Ovis aries: one gene and its partners. The protein of the gene in region 2 purifies or fractionates together with the protein of the main gene of each other region. This does not show direct contact. Links are inferred from orthologs where the notes say so. Each region holds a gene or a part of one and is shown on either strand. Other genes may lie near its edges. The genes, in order: GAB1, MET, PLXNB1 and LGALS1.

The links.
Region 1: the proteins of MET (region 2) and GAB1 purify together in Homo sapiens (affinity purification with western blotting; 3 studies listed by BioGRID and IntAct, with this or other methods). This does not show direct contact. The link is inferred for Ovis aries from reciprocal best matches to the Homo sapiens genes MET and GAB1.
Region 3: the proteins of MET (region 2) and PLXNB1 purify together in Homo sapiens (co-immunoprecipitation; 3 studies listed by IntAct). This does not show direct contact. The link is inferred for Ovis aries from reciprocal best matches to the Homo sapiens genes MET and PLXNB1.
Region 4: the proteins of MET (region 2) and LGALS1 purify together in Homo sapiens (affinity purification with mass spectrometry; 3 studies listed by BioGRID and IntAct, with this or other methods). This does not show direct contact. The link is inferred for Ovis aries from reciprocal best matches to the Homo sapiens genes MET and LGALS1.

The regions. Positions count from the first base shown.
Region 1 is NC_056070.1:14,613,760-14,619,418, forward strand, and holds the start of GAB1 (GRB2-associated-binding protein 1), read right to left. Parts: upstream 3,781-5,659; 5' UTR 3,445-3,780; coding exon 3,373-3,444; intron 1-3,372. UniProt on the Homo sapiens protein: Adapter protein that plays a role in intracellular signaling cascades triggered by activated receptor-type kinases. Plays a role in FGFR1 signaling. Probably involved in signaling by the epidermal growth factor receptor (EGFR) and the insulin receptor (INSR).
Region 2 is NC_056057.1:53,127,343-53,132,515, forward strand, and holds part of MET (hepatocyte growth factor receptor precursor), read right to left. Parts: intron 4,970-5,173; coding exon 4,867-4,969; intron 4,756-4,866; coding exon 4,619-4,755; intron 3,989-4,618; coding exon 3,827-3,988; intron 2,869-3,826; coding exon 2,769-2,868; intron 1-2,768. UniProt on the Homo sapiens protein: Receptor tyrosine kinase that transduces signals from the extracellular matrix into the cytoplasm by binding to hepatocyte growth factor/HGF ligand. Regulates many physiological processes including proliferation, scattering, morphogenesis and survival.
Region 3 is NC_056072.1:51,461,327-51,467,289, reverse strand, and holds the start of PLXNB1 (plexin-B1), read right to left. Parts: upstream 3,722-5,963; 5' UTR 3,651-3,721; exon of another isoform or gene 3,603-3,650; intron 3,043-3,602; exon of another isoform or gene 2,956-3,042; intron 2,936-2,955; exon of another isoform or gene 2,797-2,935; intron 1-2,796. UniProt on the Homo sapiens protein: Receptor for SEMA4D. Plays a role in GABAergic synapse development. Mediates SEMA4A- and SEMA4D-dependent inhibitory synapse development. Plays a role in RHOA activation and subsequent changes of the actin cytoskeleton.
Region 4 is NC_056056.1:215,341,258-215,347,134, reverse strand, and holds LGALS1 (galectin-1), read right to left. Parts: upstream 3,344-5,877; 5' UTR 3,278-3,343; coding exon 3,269-3,277; intron 1,973-3,268; coding exon of another isoform or gene 1,970-1,972; coding exon 1,890-1,969; intron 809-1,889; coding exon 637-808; intron 300-636; coding exon 153-299; 3' UTR 97-152; downstream 1-96. UniProt on the Homo sapiens protein: Lectin that binds beta-galactoside and a wide array of complex carbohydrates. Plays a role in regulating apoptosis, cell proliferation and cell differentiation. Inhibits CD45 protein phosphatase activity and therefore the dephosphorylation of Lyn kinase.

The DNA of each region.
Region 1 (5,659 bases), on a different chromosome or scaffold from region 2:
TTGAGCCTGTGCTCTGGACCCTAAGAGTCTCAACTATAAGCCGATGTGCTGCAACTACAGAAGCCTGTGCCCCTCGAGCCCGTGTTCTGCAAGAAGCCACCACAGGAAGAAGCCCCCGCCCCACAACTGGGGAGCTGCCCCAACACTCTTCAAGAAGAGAAAGCCCCTGCAGCAGCGAAGACCCAGCAAGGCCCAAAATACACAAACCAATACAATTATTTTTATCACATAGCCGGAGAATCTGCTCACTAGTCTTTTTCTTACTATCTTTTATGCTACTGTCACACTGTTTAGGAAATTCAAGAAAAACTTCCATAGCAGATGGACATACTAATATGTAAAAACAATGCTGCTGACTAATAAAAATTAAAAAAGCAAACATAAAATGGAGTTGTAAGTAGAATGCATTGGGGCCATAACTTGAGATGACTTTGGAGATAAAACTAAAACAATATTTTGTCACTTAAAAGCCCTGATGGATTCTCTTAATCAATGCTTGAACTACTCTTATAAATATTGGAAAACAGTGAGACAACTATCAAAGTCCTCTGGGCCAAGTGTTCCCCCCCCTCCAAATCAATGCCCAAAAACTCCCTGAAGTCTCCCTTAGCAATTATGGTACCAGGAAGTCAAGATATCTTATCACAGAGAATTTGTTCATTCAAAACCATTATCAAGCAACATTTTGCCTATTGGGTGGTCAACAATGTTTCCTTTCATCCAGAAAATAAAGATTTTACATGAAAACCAAACTCAGCAGAGGAGATGCATGTATATATATATGCCATATCTTTGAGGGGTAAAGATGTATTAGCCAAAACTATCTATATTGAATATCAGGCCAAACAGCAATCATCTGGAAACGTGAGAATCTTCTGGGCAATCACCTTGACAGTGCAAATTAAGACAAGCCTCAATTTAGCTTATAAGACTCCAGTAACTCTCTTGGACCCCTCAATTTTGGCAGCCACCCTCCCCATAGTCTTCCTGGGCTGTATCCATGGACTGATTAGTGTGGAAAGAAAACCCTAGTGTCCTGCCTCTCTCAGCTGTTAGGTATATTCAGCCCTCAGTCGACAACAATTGAGGGAGCCCACTGTTCCTCTGACGTATCCTATGATTTCCGTCTACATGAGCCTGTTCCTGAAAACATCTATGAAATGGCCATAGGGCTCAACTTGGGCACACAATTAGAAAGCACGTGGAGTTGCTGGCTTCCTTTTCTTTTTTTTAAATTAATTAATTTATTTTAATTGGAGGCTAATTACTTTACAATATTGTGGTGGTTTTTGCCACACATTGACATGGATATGGCTTCCTTTTCTACATATGCTTGTCCTGTGTTTCTTCAGCACTGCACCTCTGATCCACAGTCCACTCTTCCTTGCGTGTTATATCCACGGACTCACAGAAAGTCATAAACCTGAAAGGTCCTATCCACATGACCCAGCCTCAGCACAGCTTAAACTTGATAAGAGGCGTTCACCTTTTAAAGACCAGGCAGGCAGGCAGGCAGATCTGGGTTCAAATCCTGCTTCTGGCACACTCTGGTTCCGTAGATTGTGTTCTCATTTAAGACAGATAATAACTGCCTCATAAAACTGTTGTAATGATCAGATGAAATATTAAAATTCTTAAATTGAGAATTTCTATTTTCTTGGTCCAGTTAAGATGTAATTGTTTGGGCTGATTTTTTGTAGTACATTAAATTGCAAGCCCAAGAGACAAGGCTTTTTTTCCTGCTGGGTTTTTTTTTTTGTTTTTGTTTTTTTTTAATTTTATGGTCCCTAGTCTAGCGTGTGGCATCTTTTGAGAGAGCCATAAACCAAACATGTGAAAGAAAGCATTAAATCTCTATTACCACTACCTATTCCAGCCAATGTAGTGTTCTTTAGTTTCCCCAAGAATCAATCATTTCCTAAACAGTACCTTCTCAAAACAAATACATCAAACCACACCCTCTCCCCACATACATACACACAGAACTCCCAACTGAAAAACACACTGCCTCTCACCCCAACTTTTAGAATAAAGTCACCATATTTACCAGAATACTTGGGCAAACTGTGATAGATGGAGAGAGGGAATTTGGAAGAATTTTAAAAATCTCTGAAGAACATCCCTAGGATTTGTGGCATCAAATCCTTAAAGGAGAACTACTTGCCTATAGCAAATTCTGGCAGCAAGTAAACCAGAAACTCACTGGTGAGTTGTGGGCTAAGTTAAATATTGCACTTCACTCCGTTCTATGCAAGCAAACTGACTAACAGGGTTACCTCGAGCTCTCGCATTGGGTGTAGACATCCTTTCACAAGAAACAGGGTCCATTATTACTCTCCCCGTTAGCAAATTTATATTTAAGGGGGCACATACTGTGCTTTCGAGACATACTTTACTAGACAAATATTTGCTCCATAAGCGAGGGCAAAGGTGTCATTTCTTTCCTTTGCTGTGGGCAGCGACAGAAGAATCAATGGGGGAGAAGGGGATAAGATCCCAGACTCCCCAAAGAGGACACAGACTTCCGCTGCAGTAACGTTGGTTCTTTCAAGGAATACTTCCCCTAACGGCTAAAACGGCTTAACACATAATCAGCATCTTGTATCAATTACACAAATACCACGAAGCAACTGTGGTGGCCTGGGAAAGGACCATAACACACAGAACTCCTAACTGGCCTTCGCTGTCCCCTCCCACAGGGTTTGACAGCGTGTCCAAGGCGCCCGAACACCAGCCATCAGGCTCCCCCCAGCGCCCTCCTCTCGCAGCAAACTGCCAAGGCTCTCGGGCCAAACTCCAACGTCCCTCGATTCAAAACCGAGAAAGTGTGAACCCCGCTAAGCAAACGGTAGGGCGCGTAATAACTTTTTTTTTTCTTTTCCGTGGAGCGGATTGGAGATGCTCGGCTCTAACGCCAACTTCCCAGGTCTCCCGTCCGCTTTCCGAAACCATCCCGTGGGGAAGGCGGGAGGGAGGGCGGTCCAAAGAGAGGGCTGGTGAGTTTTAATACCTCCGTGGTTTTCTCAGTGCGGGAAATTTACTACACAGCAGCCCCTGAGAATTCGGTGCAGGTCTAACGAAAGGAAAATGCTCTCCCCCTCAACCCCTGCTAAAAGGAACAATAAAAAACACTCAGCAGGCGCTCAGCTGGCCATACCAGGCCTTCCTAAGGGCCGATGGAGAAAGAAATTTCTCCAGTCTGCAATCTGGAGAAAGAAAGATGCCTGGCCAAGCGGAGGCCCGGGCATGAGTGTCCAGCCTGGGTCCCCAGCCTGGCAGGGAAGGGGCCTACAGGGAAGGGATGGGGACTAAAGAGGAGCAGTCGGCACGCGAGCCGCCCAGGGAGGGTAACGGGGGCCGAGCTCTACTTACATAACGCTTTAACTTTTTCTCCGGGGGGGACTTGCGGAGCCATCCCGAGCAGACCACTTCGCCGCCGCTCATGGTGCGAGCCTTTAGGGCTGCGGGCCCGGCGCGCTCCCGACACCTTCGACGCCGGACGCCCGTGCAGCTGCTGGGACCTCGCTCTCCCGCGGCGCACCCCAGGCGGACGGGGCGGGCCGGCTCCGCGGCGCTCTGGCTCTTGGCGTTCGAGTTTCTTCCCCGCAGGCAGGTCCGCGGACGTGAGTAGAAGCGGGCACAGCCGCCGAGGCCGACACCTCGGGGCAGGGGCCGCGGCCGGGCCGAAGATGCCCAGGCCTTCCTTCAGTGCACCCGCCCGGCCGCCAGGCGCGCCGTCCCGCCGGCCGCCTCCTCTGCGCTCGGGCTCCACGGGACTCTGCCCCGGCGCGGAGCCCGAGCCTCGGCCCCCTGCGCTCCGCCCCTTCGGGATGGGACCTCCCAGAGCGCACTCCGAGACAGACACGACGCTGCACGCGCGCACACACAGTCTCACACGCTCATACACACACAATGCCCCCGCGCAGTGCCCACTCCGACTGGCCAGCTCTAGGTTTTACTGCGCTTGGCGCTATCCCCTCCTTCCTCCTTCTGGAGAGAGGGTGGGTCACTTCCCCGAGGCGCCCGGACCGCCGCAAGGAATGGGAAAGCCGCGAGGGTCCCGTGGTCAGCGGGCGCAGGGTTGAGGGTTGGTCCCGGGCCACGGAGGGAGCCGCCGGCTCGGCGTCGCTGGACAGAGCGCAGGTCCCGCCGAAGGGTGGGTCCGTGCTGGCCGCCGCCGCAAGAGAGAGAAAGCAGAGGGCGGCAGAAGAAGGAGGCGCTGGGCTGCTTGGCTGCGGGGACCAAGCCTACCGTCCCGTCCCCTAGCGCTGCTCCTGCGCCGCCTCCCCCACCCCAGGGCGCGCGGCAGGTTCTGGGCGGCCCGGCCCCCGGCCCCGATCCCTCCCTCTCCCGGCCTCCCGGCTCCCTCTTCCTCTCTTTCCTCCTCCCCTTCCCACGTTCGGGCCGGCTCCGGTTTCTGCCCAGACTTTCTTTGAAACTCCGCCGGAGCGCTTCCAGCCAAAACAACAAGGGCCAGGGAGGAGGAGACGGGCGGAGGGAGGGAGCGAGCGAGGGAGGGCGCGGGAGTCCGAGAGGCACCCTGGGATCTGTAGTTCGGGACGCTGGAGAGGGGTCCTCGGCGCCCCCGGCGGCCGTGGATCCCGGAGCCCCCGGCGGGCTGGTCGCCAAGGAAGGCAGCGAAGCCTCGCCGAGGGTAACGCCGCGCCATCTCGGGTTCCCGGGCGACCGAGGAACATTCGAAGGTTCAAGTCTGTGGATTGCCATCTTGGCTCAGCCGAGTGTCAGTTCGGAGTTTGTTCTGTGCGGGAGATCGGGAGTTGGGGGCGGGGGAGAGGGGGGCGGGTACTTGACAGCGTGGAAAGCGAAACAGCCTGGAGGAAGACCGCGCGCCCTGGAGAGTCTGCGATCCCGGGGTTTCTGCCCGCAAGACTGAAAGGCGGAGACCAGGAGGGCGAGGTCGCTGGGAGCGCGCCAAGGCGACCAGCCTGCAGGGGAGGTCAGAAGGGGACCCTTCCGGACTGATGTGTGCTGGTCCCCGGAGCAGCCTTGCCTGAGTGGTGGGAGCGCTTAGTGGACCCAAAGGATTCAGTTGAATCTATCTCTGGGGACATTTTGAAGCCTTACACTCCCTCCGTTTGTTGCCAGTTTCTTCCACTTGCCTTGGCTTTTATTTAAAATCAACTCTTGGGGTGTTGGACCAGAAAAGGGAACCTTCACTGGATGTCCTAATGCTATTTGTTTTCTTTTGTGTGTTTTACAATGACTATGATACCTGGCCCTGAGATTAACACGATCCTGTAAGAGAAATATCTTTTCCAATGTATTTATGAGAAACAAAGCCCCTAGACAGATTTTGGAACGTAGTGTAAATAATCAGATAAGAGTGCCAAACGTTTCTGGAAAAAATAACCTCAGGCTTGTTCTTGTTAATACAACATTCATATTCAGTTCCTCTCGAGTTTGAAAATGTTATACAATTGTAGTAGGAAATTAGGTGCTGGGGTGGTGACAAAGAAAGGTCCCTGCACTCAGAGCGGTGACATTTCTAGATAGTTAACAGGGTCAACGCAAGTACAGATTGTGATAAATGTGCCCTGGGAGAAACTGGAAGAATAATAAGGGTGGAACTAGGTCAGATACTAGGGGAGAAGTCTTCCTTAAAGAGGCAGCTAGCCAGAGATGTGAAAGATGTTGTAAA
Region 2 (5,173 bases):
CATGCTGTGTGGTTTCTTGTTCACTCTGTATTCCACATTGGTCAAACTTTTCCTATCCTCTCTATTTTACAAAGGTTCCTCTATCATTATTTCATGTCCTTTCATCTTTCATTAAAAAATTTCCCCTTTATAATTCTGATTTATAGAAGTTTGGAAAATGTGGTTTCCTCTTGATTGTGCTTAGATGAAACCAGCAACACAAAGTAGTGCATTTAAGGTTAAATGGTTGCATTTTTCCCCCCAAGGAAAAGACAAACAAGCAACAACATCCCTTAGATTTCCTTTTCTTTGACAAGTAGAGTTGGAGATAAAACAATTACTTATGTCCACAATAGAATAATACTCAGGATATACAGAAAAAGCACAAACAAAATTGGATATTTGATATTTTCTTTTAAAAATGACTTAAAAATTGTTCTATATTGAAAAATGTGTGCTATATGCAGATGAAGAAAAATTATATACAGACATAATTGGTATAAAATATTACTTAGTTTTGTATCAAATCCATATGACAATGCTAAAAGCTATCCTATGGTCTTGAAAAACGGAAATGAACAACTTTACTGCTATTACAATAATTTTCTATGTAACAAGAAACTTGAAAATTAACAAACTTCTGGCTTCTGGGGCATAATGTATGATAACAAATTAATATGCATTTTGTTAAGAAGATGATCAATATTTTTATTTTAAAAGATTTGAATTTGTTAGACTGGAAATTTACTCTGGCTGGATCAGTAAATCTAAATCAGACCTGAACAAGAGTTTTCATCTGTTAAATAATGAATGGCTTCAATTCATCATGGTCAGCTTCAGATTCTACAAGAAGCAGGGAATATGGAAAGAACACGGGTCTCTTTATGAGATTTTTTGCAAACAATAGTCAAATAGACCCACTGAATTTTTCATTCCTGTCCAAATTGAATCCATTGTTCTATTTAATATCTTTGTGGCTAAAATAACAAAGTTTACATTTCCAGATATGCAAACGGACAAGATTCTAATCTTCTACTGTTGTTCCAATCTTCTTTGTCACACCTAGGAGGTTTTTAAAAACTACATATTACAAATGAACGAATGATGTCATGTGTCATCATAATGTTGGTGAGGCAGAGGGAAGAAATCTGTCATGATTTTAATAATGTAACCTCAGTGTGAATTAGATAAACTAATAATTTCTCAGACTTCTACTTTAAAAAGTTGCATGCCAACACCAAAGGGGGTTATTGTTATTTTTATTGGTTAATGAAAAATTGCTATGCCTGGTTGTGGAGAACTGATGTCCTTTAAATTAATAGTGGTGGTATTCTAACTTTGTTTGTGGCCATGTGCAGGGATTGGTTTCAAAGCTCTCTACTTCATATGGGGACTCCCTAGAGTATAATCTCTCAGGAATATTATAAAAATCTAATAATACTCTTTAGAGGTGATGCAATGTGGCTGATTGAGAAGGTCAAGAAAAATCTTATTTGAGATGACCTTATTGTTTGGTGATTTGGCTTGACATTTTTAGCCCGAAATTGGTTTTTGTAATTAAAGCACACTGTGGCCTTAGCCTTCAAGAAATATTGGATGAGAATCTAAAAGGAAGTGCTGTAATTCAATCTATTACCTCCCCAATCAAGACCCTGCCTGAGAGGGGGCACTTAGAACTTTCATTCTAAGTTGTGTGTAGTCTGACTAGATTATGGATATTTTATATCAGAGAAAAACAACAAAACATATAATCTTCATAAATAACTCCAAACTTCCTGAAGTCTGAAGTAAAACTGCCACTTCAATGTGACCCCAAACTGTCAGAGCACAAAATAGGTCAATTTAAGGAGGAATTCAGTTAAATTCTGATGGACCTTGCAAATTAAAGAAAAAAGGTGAAGAAGTGTTACACATCATACCCATTCTAGGACATAAGTATTTTAATGCTCTTTTTCATTATTTGATAACATGCTAACAAAAGGACAAGAGGCATGGTTAAGAAGGGATATGAAAGAAAACACCGTACCACTTAGGAAGACATGGATGCTTTGGCAAGAGTAAAGGCTTTACCCAGGGGTTTTATTAGACCAAAAAGGTTGATGTTCTAGGGGGCATTATAAAAAGGAGGATAGGGAAATGCTATGGTTTGAATGTTTGCATCCTCCTCAAATTCATATTTGGAACCCTAATCCCTCACATGATGGGATTTGGAGATGGGGCCTTTGGGAGGTAAGTAGGTCATAAGAGTGAAGTTCTCATGATGGAATTAGTGCCCTCATAAGAGGAGACACAAGAGAGCTTGCTTCCTCTTTCTTTCCCTTCCATGTGAGGATACAATGAGAACATAATCAGTTGCAAACCAGGAAGCAGGCCCTCCCCAGAAAGCCAGATCTGCTGGCACCCTGGTCTTGGACTTCGCAACCTTGAGAACTATGAGAAAAAATAAATGTTTTCTATGTAAGCCACTCAGTCTATGGTATTTTTGTTTAGAACCCTGAACAGACTAAGACAGGGATGATGTAGTTTGCATTTGTACTGACTTTTTAAAAAACACTGCCTTAAGTTGATAATCATTATTTGTGTCTAAACATTATGTGTGAGTGTGTTTTCTGTTAGCCTGAGACTAGATATTTTTAGTCACTGAATTAAAAAAATCCTACTGACTACATTGCAGGTAAGATAACTAGCAGACATTAAAGGCAAAACTGAAATGTCTCTGGTACCCTGAAAGCAGGCAGCAGAGGCAGAGATGCAGAGTTCTAAGCACAACTATCATGTAGAGGACTTACCACTGTAAAGTTCTTTCCGGCTTCATGCACATTTATTACCATCCTTATGATACTAACTGAATTCAGGTTTTTTCCAACACCTGTTATTGTACTCCCACCACTGGCAAAATAAAATAGAAAAATAGCAATGAGAGGTTCTTTCTCTATCAAGTATTTTAAGAGAGAAATGAAATTAAATCACATGTAGTAACTACAAGTTACAGCGAAATTGAAGTCAAATGAAAGTTCAGTGGTAAATTTTCTTTGGAAATAACTTATTTCACCCGAAAATATTTTAAAAATTCATTATTTCACAAGCTGAAGGAATGAATTTCTCTTTTTATTCACCAAACACACAAAAGAAATATTTTTTCCTGTCTGAAAAAAATACAAAGAAAAATGAATTTAACTACTGTCGCTAGACTGATTGAAATAACAGAAATAAGGCAGACTGAAATGGGTCCAGTGAGATAATGATTTAGAGGGAGTCTGGTATTGGCTCAGACAGTAAAGAATCTGCCTGCAACGTGGGAGACCTGGATTTGATCCCTGGGTCAGGAATATCTCATAGAGAAGGGAATGGCAACCCAATCCAGTATTCTTGCTTGGAAAATTCCATGGACAGAGGAACCCTGGCAAGCTATAGTCCACGGGATCACAAACAGTTGGACATGACTGAGTGATTAACACACTGGTATAGGGAAAAGTTGTGTGTAAATTAGGTAAGGAAAAATACACTGTAAAAGTGACAGAAAAAGGTGATTCCACTCTTAGGCACTAAGGTTAGTAAAGAGTTAAAATGTACACAATATAAGTGCTTAAATACTATGATGTTCAGCTTAAATACTATGATGTTCAGTAAATTTAGACTAGGATAAAATGGCATGAACTAGCACTGATAAAGTCAAATTGTACTCAGAACCTGACTGTAGTTTTCACTCCTGAATTGGAAAGGTATTCTTCAAAAGAAATGCAATAGTATCAAATCCAGAGATAAAACTATCTTCCTTTTGACTATTTGACAGCCAATCATTCTCAAGTTTATTACTTTCTTATACCCATCAGAAACTTTTACTTACCTAATAAAAGATTTGGTGGGATGTATTTCATAGACAATGGGGTCTTCCCGGTAAATGAAGCTGTTCACCTCTCGGTTGGCTAAGTCAATTTTCAATTTAACAGAAAACTCAGTTGGAGCACTTTGGGCTGGGGTATAACATTCGAGAATACTATATGAAACACTGAACAAAAAATTAAGAAAATGGATCTTTGTTATTAAAGACACACATATGTTAGAATTATATCCATAAGTCAAAAAGGATATCAGTCAATAGCACCTAAATGGGAATTTCTAGGGGGAAAAAAGCTCTTTTTAATGTAGGGTGTTTGTATTTGACTAGATCCCAGACTTAGCTCTGTTGTAGGCAAGCTACCTGACTTAAAAACATTTGGGATTTTAAGCAATTTTTAAAGTTTTGGTACTTGATTTAAGCTTTCCCATCTCTTAAGAAGCAGAAACATAACTTTCTAACCTAGTCTCCCTCATGGCTCTCACCACCCCAAAGTGATCTGATCTAATTGTAAATCTTGACGGAAATGTTTATTGTCAATTAACTGAACCTCACAGCTTATAGCATAGGTGGGATACTCAGTATAACAATAAAGAAGGTGGAATTAATAAACCATAAGGGAAGGGAAGAAAAAACAGCAAAAAGGAGTAGAGGGATTTGGGAAGAAGAAGTCTTTTAAGGTAAGGACAGTAAATAATAAACCTCTTGACTTTTTGCCACAAAAGAACAATATTTTCTTGATTTGTTAGGTACAAATATTAATCCAACTTGACTGATGAAACAAAAGACAAACTACAACACCTTTTTAAAGTACATGTTTTTCCACCAATTGAAATGTGTCTTGAATTTCCACTGTTTAGGTGCTTTCCAGTTAATGTAAGTAAAGTGCCACCAGTTTTTGGACCATAATTTGGAGAAATACTTGTTATTATAGGATCCTGAATGAGAGATAAAAACAAAATAAAATAACCTGTTAATTTTATAACTCTAAGTACATTAAGTAATAATTAAATATCCTAGTTCATGAGAAAACGAATGCCTAGACTTACCACATAGGAAAACATACTATACTGTACTGACCCACGACTGTTTGAAATAACTATGGACATATTGAAATGTTCATTCGTTGCAGGACCAACTGTGCATTTCAACCTGAAAAAGCAAAGTTTTATATAAGTCCAAAGGCATTTTCTGGCTTGGGTGTTTTATATTAAGAGTTATTATCTCCAAATAGTGAGCTGACTACTCTAAATAGCAAGCAGAGTTTCCAAGTAAGCATCAAGACTGAAAATTGTATAGCTCTATTTCTGTACTATTATGCTAAAATTTATATTGACTGTCTTGTATTATTCATAC
Region 3 (5,963 bases), on a different chromosome or scaffold from region 2:
AGAGGAAGTCACTGATGAGTACCCCACATCCCCTGAAACTTCCCATACCTTGAGGGCCTGCTCTCCTCACAGACCCTCTCCCTGCAGACTCCACCTGAAGCCTGGGGAGACCAGGAAACCATGCCACCACCTTGCTAAAACCTGGCTGGTCTCCAGCCTGGAGCACCAGGGTAGGCAAAGCGCTGGGGACCGGCAGCGCATCCCAAGCTGTGAGATGTTCTCCCTGCTTGTTTGTGTCCAGGCCACATGGCCCGGCCCCTCCTGCCACCCGGCTGCCAGTCTGCCGGTGCACAGTGCTCCTCCAACAGCTTCCCAGGGTCCAGGTTGACTCCTCCCAGCCGAGGCCCCCCCCAGCTGGGTGCTCCTGAGGCTGGCCCAGAGGGAGCAGGGCTGGGCGTAAGGCTTGCAGGAAGGTCCAGCGAGGAGCTGTGGCCACAGCCTGGCTGGGCACTGCTCCCAAAATAGCTTGGGGGTTTCCATTTTTAGTGTGCAGAGAACAGGACAGCTCTATGGGAGCGGGAACAAGGCAGCCACTGTTTGCCACCGAGGGGGCAGGGGGAGGGGGGCGGCAGGGAGAGCCGTGAACCCGGCGAGAAGCCCAGGACTATGGCAAGGCCAGGCTTCCCAGGAGCCCCCCACCTTGTATCCAAGGCACAGTGGGGAAAGTTTCTTCCCCCAGGAAGATGGGGTCTGCCTGAGGATGGGCAAAGGCCGGCTGCTACACTCAGCTACTGCTCGGCCCCTCCCACCGCCTCCCTCCCAGGGACACGCCTTGGGCAGAGGGTCTGCCCCACCATTCGATTACAAACATTTGCTCAGCGCGGACTTCATGCCAGAGTTCTCCAACCCTCAAGGGGCAGCCACCAAGGCACTCCCTACATGTAAAATCACAACTGGGTCGAGTGGCCCACAGGAAGCCAATGGGCAGGACCCAAACAGCTTCTGGCAAAGTCACATCGAAGGCTGGAGGCTGACCCCCGCTGGGGAAAGTGTCAGCCTTCTTCAATCACTGCCACGGGGCCGAGCCACCCTCGCCCTTCCCCACATACCACGGGTGGGAAGGAAAGAAGGGTGGTGACATTTTTCTCCTTATCGGTCACATATTTCACTTCACCTTGGTCACAGACAGCCTCTGGCCCCTCCAGTGCACCTCCTCCCACCTCAGAGGATGTCCCTCTCTCCAGCATCTTTGGAGGCACCCCCCGGGGCCCGGAGGATAAAGGTCAAGCCCTCCCGTCCACACGCTCTCCTGCGGGATCCTTGCCAGGGCTCCCCCACACATGCTCTTCGTTCCTGCCAGGCCGAACTGCAGACTGCTCATCACACTCCCCCACGCTCACTCCCTATTACATGAGGTACCCAACCATCACCTCCCAGAGAAGCCCTCACTGTCCCCCAGGCTCCTGAGAAGCCCACCGCGTGTGACTGGTGGGCATCCCCAGCCACCACCCTGGTGTACATTGCAGCTCTGCCTTGGGGTCTCTGAGCCTCAGATTTCCCATCTGGAGAATGGGAGGCAGGATTGCTCTGATCGTTCAACGTGATGTGGTGTGTGCCTGGCACGCGAGGCACCAACCAAGGCCACTTTTCTCCCTGTTCCACGCTCCTATCCTGAAATTCCTTAAAGGCAAAGAATGTGACTTCTAATTCAGAGGCCCCAGTAAGCGGGACAGACGTTAGCACGGAGCAGGTGCTCCTCAAATGATAAAAAGAACCCTCATTTCACAGCCAATAAAACTCAGCCAGCAGGGGAGATGCGGAACCCACAACCCACTCCAAGCCACTCAGCTTCTCGAAGGACACAGTTGTCAGCCCCACTTTTATTAATGACTAGGCCAGAGCAGACTGAAAAGGGTGCTTTGGAGCTGGGCCTCCAGTTCCCAACTTATACAAATAAGATCTCTCCTCCACCCTCCACATCTCAAGCCCCAACTACAGTCAAAGCCTAGCTCTTCTGGGCCCCCCAACTCTGGACCGATTCAGCAGGACCCAAGGCTGCCTAACTTCTGCCTGCAAAGAACAACCAGTCTCCTGGACCTGGGGCTGTCCTGGCCAACCAAAAGGGCATATAAACTCTGCCCTTGAAACTGGGAGAATGTTCCTATCCCAGCCCTCTTCACCGGAGTCGCCGGGATTGGTGTGAAACCGGCCTTTCCTTATGGCCTTCTCGCTGGGCTCCCAGGGTGCACCCAGAAGTTACTCATTGACAGCATCAGAGTGGAGAGTGCCTGCCCTGTTGTCTGTGTTGAGCCGGGGTAGGGGCGGGGTGGGGGGCACCATTTACCAGTGAGGACTCAACGAGCGCTCATCAATCACCCACCGTCTGGGTGCGGGGTGGGGGGCTCCCCCTCTGGGGGTGCGTGGCGGGGGGAATCCCAGTCTGCCTTTTGTCAGTCGCGCCGAGTACCGCCTGGAAGGGCTGTTACTGCGGAGGGGAAGCCTGGACCTCCCTGTTGCTCTTCCCCGACCCTCCTCCCTCCTCCCCGACCAGGGCAAGGACCCCCCCAGTGGTCCTGGGAGGGCGGGGAAGAGGCCGGCCGGTCCCCGGCTGAGGCGGCGGCGGCGAGGAGGGGGCGCGGAGGAGCGGCTCCACCTCCTCTGTCTCCCAATCGCGTTACAGGCGGAGCCGACAGAGTTTCCCTTCGCGCGGAGAAGTGTGGTCCCAACTCTCAGGATTGAAGCCGCCCACCACTCACCCCGGGCCGCGTCGGCCCGGCGGCATCGCGGCTCCAGGCCCGTCCACCCCGGGGACGCGTCGCCCCGGCCCCACCGCCCGGCCCCGGGCCCCGCACTCACCACCCGGCCGGGCCCCGCGGGACGAGCGCGCCGAGGCGGGCGCCGGCCGCTCCGGGTTCGGGATCTGCGCGCGCGGCGGCCTCCCCCGTCCCCTGCTCGCCACCCCCCCCCCGCTCCGCCACCTCCCGGAGGTGGGTCTGGCGGAGTCGCAGCTGTTACCCGGAGACCGAGGGGCGGAAAACTGCGCCCGCCGCCCGCCCCGCCCGCAGCGGCGCTGCCACCGCCGGGAACAAAGGAGACAAAGCCGCGTCGGCCGGGCCCGGCTCCGCTCCTTCCCCCCCCCCGCGCCCGCCGGGCCGCCCTCCCCCCGCCCGCAGCCCAGGCCAGGCCGGAAGCAGCCGGGAGAGCCGGGCGCGCGGCCCCGAGCCGCCCGGGACCCCGCATTCCAGCCCTCCCGGCTCTGCACTTGCCGAGGGCGGGGGACTCGACCCCTCGCTCGCTAGGGGGCGGACGGTGGGGGCAGGGGAGGGGAGAAGGGCTGCACCCCGGCGGTTGCCAAGGCAACGCGGATGGCGGCGGGAGGAGCGCGCAGAGCCGAGCCGCGGGACCTGCTGCCCCACCCGGCCCAGTCCCCGCCGGGCCTCACCTGCGCGCCTCGCTGGAGCCGAAATTGGGAGCCCTCCGGCACGGGAGGGGCCGGACGGCGGGGGCTGGGGGCTGGGGGTCGCGCTCTGCACCCCGACGTGTGGTGGTGCTTCGCCCGGACCTCCGCCTGCCTGCCTGCCAGCGCCCGGTGGGACTCACGCCCCTCACCTGCCCCGCCAACCACCTCCCCCGCTCTCCGGGGCCCCCGAGCTCCCTCTTACCTGCCCAGTACCTGGCTCCTGTGGCCATCCTCCTCCAACTTTCTTTACCTGAACTCCGGGGCGCCTGGTTTCTGCCCACCGGTCCTACTCCTGGGACTCTCAAACGGCCAAGCTCTCCTTCCGGCCCCCACCTCTGGCTGTGCGGGAAGAGCGCTGGCTTTGGGGTTGGGCCTGGGTTTGCGCCATCACTGAGCCAAGAAACCTGACCCCTGCCCCCTAAACACACATGCTTGTTTGCTCACCGTCAAGTGGAGGTGATGCCACACCTAGCCGGGCTGGGAGAGTTGGGCCCACCGCTGCAAACGTGCACAAGCTAGGGCGCATTTCCTCCCAAACCTGTACCTGGACCCGCCCCAAGCTGAGAAGCCGTGGGCAAGTCTAGACTCCCTCACCGGTAAATACGTCACCCTTCCAAAGGCACACCTGGGTTCTCTCCTGAGGCCCAGGTGTGCCCTCTGCAGGGCCCTTCAGGCTTGGCTCCCTGCAAACTCAGGAGCCAGCACTTGGTCCATCCTATTAGGACTTCCGCAGGGTTTTGGCTCTCAGCCACTGGGACAGCCGCCTGGGAGGCAAAATTGGTCACACACCCTGAAAGCTCCCAGGGCCTCTGCAAGGCTTGAGGGGGACCTCAATCAGGTTTACATCATCCACACTGGCTGCTGTGTAAAGAGCTAAACTTCAGGCACCCTCTTCCCACCTTCCACCCATCAGTGTGCCTTCACTCTCACAGGACTCTGCCTTCCAAGTTGTCCCTCACCAGCACCTCGGCTTGCTCCCCGGACCTCCAACCAATCTTCCAATATCTGGGTCCAGGGTTCAGCACCCTGTCTGTGCCAGTTCTGTCTCTGGATTTCACAGACCCCAGGTGCTATCTTGCCTTCTGGGTCCCCCACGTCATTCTCTAAACTTATGCTCCACACCAATCACCACCTCATTCAAGCTGGTGTGCCCCAAGGCCCTCAGCCACCTTTGCCTTGCCTTTCTGTGCAGCTTGTTGGGGGTGTTGGGTGGCCCTTCCAAGTACCTGGACCCCTCCCCTCCCCAGACCCATTCACTCAAGTGCACACCCTTTAGGACCCACCTCACCTACCTAGGTTTAGGACCTAGGATTTCCAAACCCCACAACACCCCTCATCTATAGACAGATATGGTATCTCCTACCCCACCAGGAGGATGAACATCCCAAGTATAGAGGTCATTTCATCCCACACCCTCCGAAGGAATCATTACAAAAAGAAAAGAAGGCCACGGATGGAGTGACCAGACGATCGGAGGTTCGCTGTACCCATGGGGCCACTGGCCAGGGCTGAGCACAGGCTCCCAAGAAGGGCGGGATCTCATGGAAGCATTTCTGCATCCACATGCCTCTGCTGTGCATCAGCTCTACTCAACCTGCTGACCCACCTCATTGGGTCCTGAAAGGAGGGTGGGTTCTTCAGACCCACAGTGCAAGCAGAGCACCTCCTCGCTGCTGTTTACTCAAGGACACACAAGGCCACCCATGGCCATTTGACCCAGGAGGTCAAAGGCTGCTGTTCTCCACTGAGAAGGAAGAGGTCAAGGGTTCTCAGTGCAGTACGCCTCCATGCCCCCCAACTGTACCTCCCACCTCTGAGAGGTCCCTCCCCATCACTGCCTCACTGCTCACACTGCTGGTGGGCTGAGCTCTGCCCAAGGCTGGAAAGGCCATCCCTAGGCTGTGTGTGAGATGACACCCTGCCTAAGTGGCACTCCAGCAGGGAACCAGATTGGTCGCCAATCCCTGTAATTCTGTCCCCGGCAGTATTTACCAACCATTCCCCCAATCCTTGTTCCTGCTCTCCTCCGATCAATCCTCCAGTGTTAGAACCAGGAAGTTCTCTCCAACATGGCACAGCAAGTGATCCAAAACAGGCTGTTACCATGGTCACCACCAAGCCAAGTTTTATTTACTGGAAATCATGGGCCATCCGACACAGGTGGGTTGGACAAGTGGAGGACAGGCCAGGAAATCCAAAATGAAAATCAAGGCCTGGGGCGGGGTAGGGGGGGACCAGTGTATCAAAAATGGTCTTGAACCAAGGGCCGGATCAAGAGATGAGAGAGGAACTATAGGGGGCGATTATCTTACTTTCAGGCCCTACCCTCGAGTTCCAAATCTGAATGTTCAATGGACAAAACTCAGTCTCACATACATTACTTTAAATAAGAAAAATGAAAGACGTTTTAATTGAAAGACGTGAGCACAAATATTTGCTGCTGCTGCTAAGTCGCTTCAGTCGTTTCCGACTCTGTGCAACCCCACAGACAGCAGCCCACCAGGCTCCCCCATCCCTGGGATTCTCCAGGCAAGAAGAAATATTTGCTAGTTAATGTCAATTA
Region 4 (5,877 bases), on a different chromosome or scaffold from region 2:
AAGGTAGTGAATGAAAGTGAAGGAAAGGGCAGAGACAGGGCTTGGGGGAGTTGGTGGAACCCTCCTCTTCCACACCCACACACACAGGAGGCTGGATCAGGGGGAGCACAGGCAGCTGCCTTTATTGGGGGCCATGGGCTGGGGCCCATATGTCACTCAAAGGCCACACACTTGATCTTGAAGTCACCACCTGCAGCCAGGTAGTTGATGGCCTCCAGGTTGAGGCGGTTGGGGAACTTGAATTCGTATCCATCAGGCAGCTTGATGGTTAGGTCTGTCTCGTTGAAGGAGACGCATACCTAGGGATGCAGAAGGGCAGTGAGCATGTGGACCCCACAGAGACCCTTGACTCCACGGCCACAGCTGCAGCATGCAGGTCCTAGGCCCTCCCAGAGCCCTTTCCTCACTCGGCCCTGACAACAGCCCTGCTTCATGGGTGAGGCCCTGAGGTTGGGAGAAGGGGATATTGCTCACTGAGGATCACACAACTAGTGAGGGAAGGGCAGGGATCTGGGAAGGGAGAGGAAGGGGGACCGGGGTTGGAGGGTTGGGACCTAGGTCTCTAGCCACTCAACCCAGCTCTGCCCCAGCCCACCCAGTGCCCTGATCCCCTGCCGCCCCCAGGCCCCAGCCCACCTCCGCGACACTTCCAGGCTGGAAGGGGAAGGCAGATTCCCTCTGCTCAGCCCCCCAGGCCCCACCGTCCTTGCTGTTACACACGATGGTGTTGATGTCCCCATGCGCTTCGAAACGAGGGTTGAAGTGCAGGCACAGATTGTTGTCATCTTTGCCCAGGTTCAGCGAGAAGCTAGGGGGTAACAGGTGGGCTTGAGGCTGCCTCCACCGGCTACAGCCCCCTCAGACCCTCTAGTCTGTGCCCCCCAGTCCGTGTGAATGCACCTCGCTGGGGAAACTCACTGAGCTGAGAAGCAGGAAACCTGGATTCTAGCTGTGTCCCTGCTTCCTCCTTGCTTTGTGCCCCTGAGCAAGTCCCTGCCCCTCTCTGGATCTCAGTATCCATATCTACACAGCCGAGGCTGCACAAAGAGCATCTCTTAAGGGTCTTGCTATGCTGACAGCCAGGACTCTTGCAGACATGAATGTGTGTCCCAGCCCCTTTGATCAAGGTCAGAGACTCCCTCCAGATGGCGTCCTCTGGGAGGGCAACTGTCCTGGCCGTCTTGTCTATCTGTAGCCCTGGTGCCCAGCACGAAGCGTGACACACAGCAGGTAGATGCTTAATAACTGCGGGGCTCATGAACATTTGCTGAGTGGAGCTAACAGCAATGCCTATCTCTGAGGGTTTGGAAAGAATGGCACAAGTGGTGCGCGTGAAACCTGCGGCTCTTTTATACGGTCAGCTGGTCATCATCGTCACCGAGAGATCCAGCATTTCACCTTCACACAGCAACCTCCCCCCTCCATGAACTGATTAACAAATAAGGGTCAAGGCGGTGGGTTGACTGATGCAAGGTCACAAGAGTCCGGAGAAACTAGGCCAGCTGGCCGAAAGAATGATGAGTTCAGGAAGAAGTGAAAGAAAAAAAACGGATCTCGGAAGGCGGGCAGCAAGGGTGACGCCCTTTCTTCCCTTCTCCCCGCCTCCTCAGGCCCCGCCCACAAAAGGGGCGGGAGGAAGGCCAGTCGAGGTAGATGACGAGGCCGCAGCTGGTTCAGTTTAAGGATGAGACAATGGTGGGGGCGTCCAGACCCCGCGGAGAAAGTGACTCATCCAGAAGACACTGCCTCAGCGGCCGCGGACCTGAAACCTGCCCCCGCCGGAGGGAGGGGCCGGACCCAGCCAGCCACGCCCCTCAGCGGGCCCGGCTCCTCCCTCGAGCTGAGCCCCCGCCCCTGCCGCCCGCCACCCCAGCCCTCGTACCCCTCACCTCTTGGCGTCTGCGGCCACCTCGCCCCGCACTCTGAGGCACTCCCCAGGTTTGAGATTCAGGTTGCTGGCGACCAGACCCTGCTAGACGAGACCCCGCCCAGCCGGGTTAGAGGACGCAATGGCGGGGGCGGGGGGTGTCTAGAGAGGTGGGTGGGGATTAAGGGGTGGGGTCGTCCCCTTTTTAGGGTGCTCTGACCAGGCCGACCTGAAGCCTGAGGAACCCGGCTGCAAGTTCTAGGCTCTCCATCTTTGTGTGGTCCTGGGCAAGTCCCTACTCCCAGCTGGGTCAATTTCTTGTCTGTAACAGGACTGAGAGTCTAAGAAGACAGGATCTAGAAGTTTCTGCCGTTTAGCCTGGGGATTTTAGATGCCATGTCTAGCCTGCTCCATTGCCTGCCTCGCTGAATAGATGGAGAGAGTCAACCTCCACATGGTCTCTGCGAGTTAGGGGCAAAGGAAGGCAAGTGAGGCTGTCTGTACATCTGCTGGAGAGGGAGAGGAAGAGGCCTGGAGCTGGGCGGTGTCCACCATCCCCTTCAAGGCCCTCTGTGCAGAGAGGGACAGGGGCTGGAGAGGAGTCCCCTAAGGAGCACAGTTAGACCCCTCTAAGAAGGGAGAATGGGCCCCGGGGTAGGAGCCTGCACCCTGGCTGGTTCAGGGTTAACAAATGCAAATGCAAAGCTTAACTGGTGTGAGTGGTTCCTCCTGCCAAAAACTTGAATCCTGTCCCTCGGGGCCTGCAGAATATTCTAGCTTCCTCCTTGATATCCCTTATCACACAGACACACCCCTCCTAGCCTGGAGGAAAGGGTCGTAGGGCACTCTCCCCTAACCTTCATCTGACCATCTGGACAGAATCACCCACTGCTGCGGGCTAACCTATACAGGCTACCCCCAGGGAGTGTGGCTCAGATCCTGGCCACTTTTCAGAGCTCTCTGGAGCACAGGGTGACTCTGCCCTGGCCCAGGGACTGGGGACAGCTGCAGGGGGGAAGGGAGAGGAGTTTCTATGGGGTGGAGGAGGGGGAAGGGAGAGTGTCCTGGGCACTAAGAAAATGCTCCCCCCGCCCCCATGTCCAGTCGGCCACACCCTTTCCACTCCCACTTCTCAAAAGAGCTGCAGTAAGTCAGACCATGGCAGAAATAATTGTGCTATCAGACTCTGGAGGAATCCAGAAATTTCTTAAGCCAGAGAAGGCCTTGGGGGACTGTGGCCCTACCCTCATTTTACAGACATGGCCACTGAAGCCCAGAAAAGACACTTGTTCAAGGCCGCACCACGGGAACTAGAACCCAGATCCTGATCTACCCTAGCTCTCCCCAGCTGAGCCCCCAGACCATCTCTGGGCCTTAGGGTAGGGGGGTCCGCATACTCACACAAGCCATGATTGAAGAGAGAAGGATGTTCCTGGAGTTTCGGCACCAGCTGTCTGAAGACTCTGCAGGAGAAATGGGCTTTGGGCCGCTCCCACTCTTTTAAGTGGACCAGACCCCGGTGAGTCCCGCCCCCTGGATGCTGAGCCAATTGTAACTCAGGAATGGGATGGGGGCCACAGGAGGCGGAGTTAATGGAATTTTGAAGCCAGTTCTGAAGCAGAGATGACCAATCGGAGTGGAGACCCCCCCTCCCCCGTCATTCCTTCTTAGCCACTCCCACAAGGTCCAGGGTCCACATCCCAATTCTCCTACCCCTTCCCAAAATTGTGCTGTGGCAAGGATTGGGGGAAGCCAGTGGAAAATAGTTTGAGGATGAATTAGGTCCAAGAGTTAGCGAGAAGAGGGCCAGGGCTAGCTGGCTGAGCTGGGGGGATACCCAGAGAAAACAGCTGAAGGGGTGCAGGGTCCCTCGAGAATTAGATCTGGGGTTCGAGAGGCTCTGTTCCTTGGCAGGGGCCAGGGCGTGGCCCACTCTGGGCGCCTCTGCAGAGGGCCCAGGACCCATTAACCACAAAGCCCTGCCTCCTCCGGAAACAGGGATTGCGGCTGCTGCTCTGCTCTTCACTAGCGCTAAAGAAAGGCTGGGCTGGTGCCAGGCTTGAGGCTGCCGCCCAGACTCGGGACTCAGGCCGCAGGCTTTGGCCCTCCCGAGGGCCCTGCTGCGGATCCTCCAGGAGCCCCTGCCTAACAGCTTCTGGCCTGTCCAAGAGGGTCAGGCCTGGAAGGAGGCCCACGGTGAGCCAGGCCATAAAAAGTTGGGGTCCCGGGTCTGTGCACCCGCCTCCATTTCTCCCTCTGACACCAGGCACAACTTCTTTTCCCCATCCGTTTAGCAGGTATTTTACCGAGCACCTATTATGTGCCTGGCCCTGAGCTGGCCTCAGAGGATTCAAAGATGAAGCCCTCAGTCCCTGCTCTCAAGTAGCTCTCTGTTGGGGGCAGAATTTGACTGTGAACCTAATTAGGAAGTAGCACGATGCTGGCTCTGGGAGAAGTCATGAGAAAGCACTGTAGTGGGGTGGTCCAGAATGGGAAGAATGTGGGTCTTTCCTTTTTTTGGCCACCCCACGTGGCATGCGGGATCTTAGTTCCCTGACCAAGGACTGAACCCGTGCCAACTGCAGTGGAAGGGCAGAGTCTTAACCTCTGGACTGCCAGAGAAGTCCTAGAAGGTCAGTCTTCAAGGATGGGTGAAGAAGCAGGGACTGGCATTCCAGCATGGGCACAGAAATGAGACAGCACACGTCTGGGGAACTGTGAGCATCTGGGCAACTGTGAGCATCTGGGCATGGCTGGAGTTTAGAGGGTGCTAGGGAAAGATGGGGTTATGAGGCTGGGCGGCCAATGGTACTGGATCATGAAGGGCCTCACGGAGGGGTTTGGGTATTGTTTGATCTGAGGGTGCTGGGTAGGCCACAGAAAGTTATATGAAGATTGAGTAGTGAGGCCAGATTTAGACTGCAGGGAAAACCACTGTAGCAACAGACTTGAGGGTGGGTTCAAGGGGTGCTCACCTCACATTCAGAAACCAAGTAGAGAGAGGAGCACGGGGAGCCCTGGGCGGGTGGAGTGGGGGGCTTGCTAAGAGAGGTACCAACAGGCCCTCCTTCACATCACTGTCCCCCTTCTGAAATTACCAGCACTGAAGAGCTAAGATGTGGACCAGGGGTGACTCACATCTAGAGGCCCTGCCCCAAGCTCACTGCCTCCCCAGCCCCCATCTTCCTCCAGAGACGGAGGCCCACATTGGCACAGGAGGAGAGGGGAGGGCAGCGGGCTGAGAGGCAGGCCCAGAGAGGCTGGGTGGCACCCCCCTGTGAGCCCCTCACCCCTTCTAGACCAAGCCAACTGCCTCAGAAACCAACCAGCAAAAGTGCTTCCCTTTTTCCTCGAGGGCCTCCCTCCAGACCTCCACATTAGGCAGGGGTGGGTGGTGCCCAGGCCCACTGCCTTTCCTCTGTGCTTCCCCTCTGAGGCCCACAGACACCCTCTCTGCCTGGACAAGGAATGAGGGTATTTCAGAAGGAGCCCTGGACCAAAGCCAGAGATGCTTCAGATGCAGTCCCTGCTGTGACAGCCATCAGGTGGGCCTGGCTGGCTACTCCCCAGTGCTGGGGCTCTTGGGGCCTCAGGAGCTGCTCCTTCATTTCCTCCCCCATCCTGGAAGATGGGGTTCGGCACCAGGAAGTGTATGTTGTTGGATGAGGGCTGCTTTACTCCTCTGTGGCATTTGGCCTGCTGAGGACTTGTAGGGAGACGAAATGGGACGGTGACATGGGGTGGAGGGCCCCGGAAGGCCCCTCTGGGAGTCTGGAGACTCACGTTCCTGTGCTAGCCCTGTCATGCCCTCCCAGGGCATCCCAGCAAGTTGCTTCTCCCTGCTTGCCTCAGTCTGCCTGTCTGTGAATTGGGCATGAGCAGCCCTGCTCTCTTGCACAAGGTTAGCGCAAGGTAGAGTTCAGGTCTGTTGTATATCCTTAATAAATGATTCTTTTGTTCATAGAGTCTCAGAAGGGTTTTGCCTTCTTGTATCTTCTTCCAGACTGAGT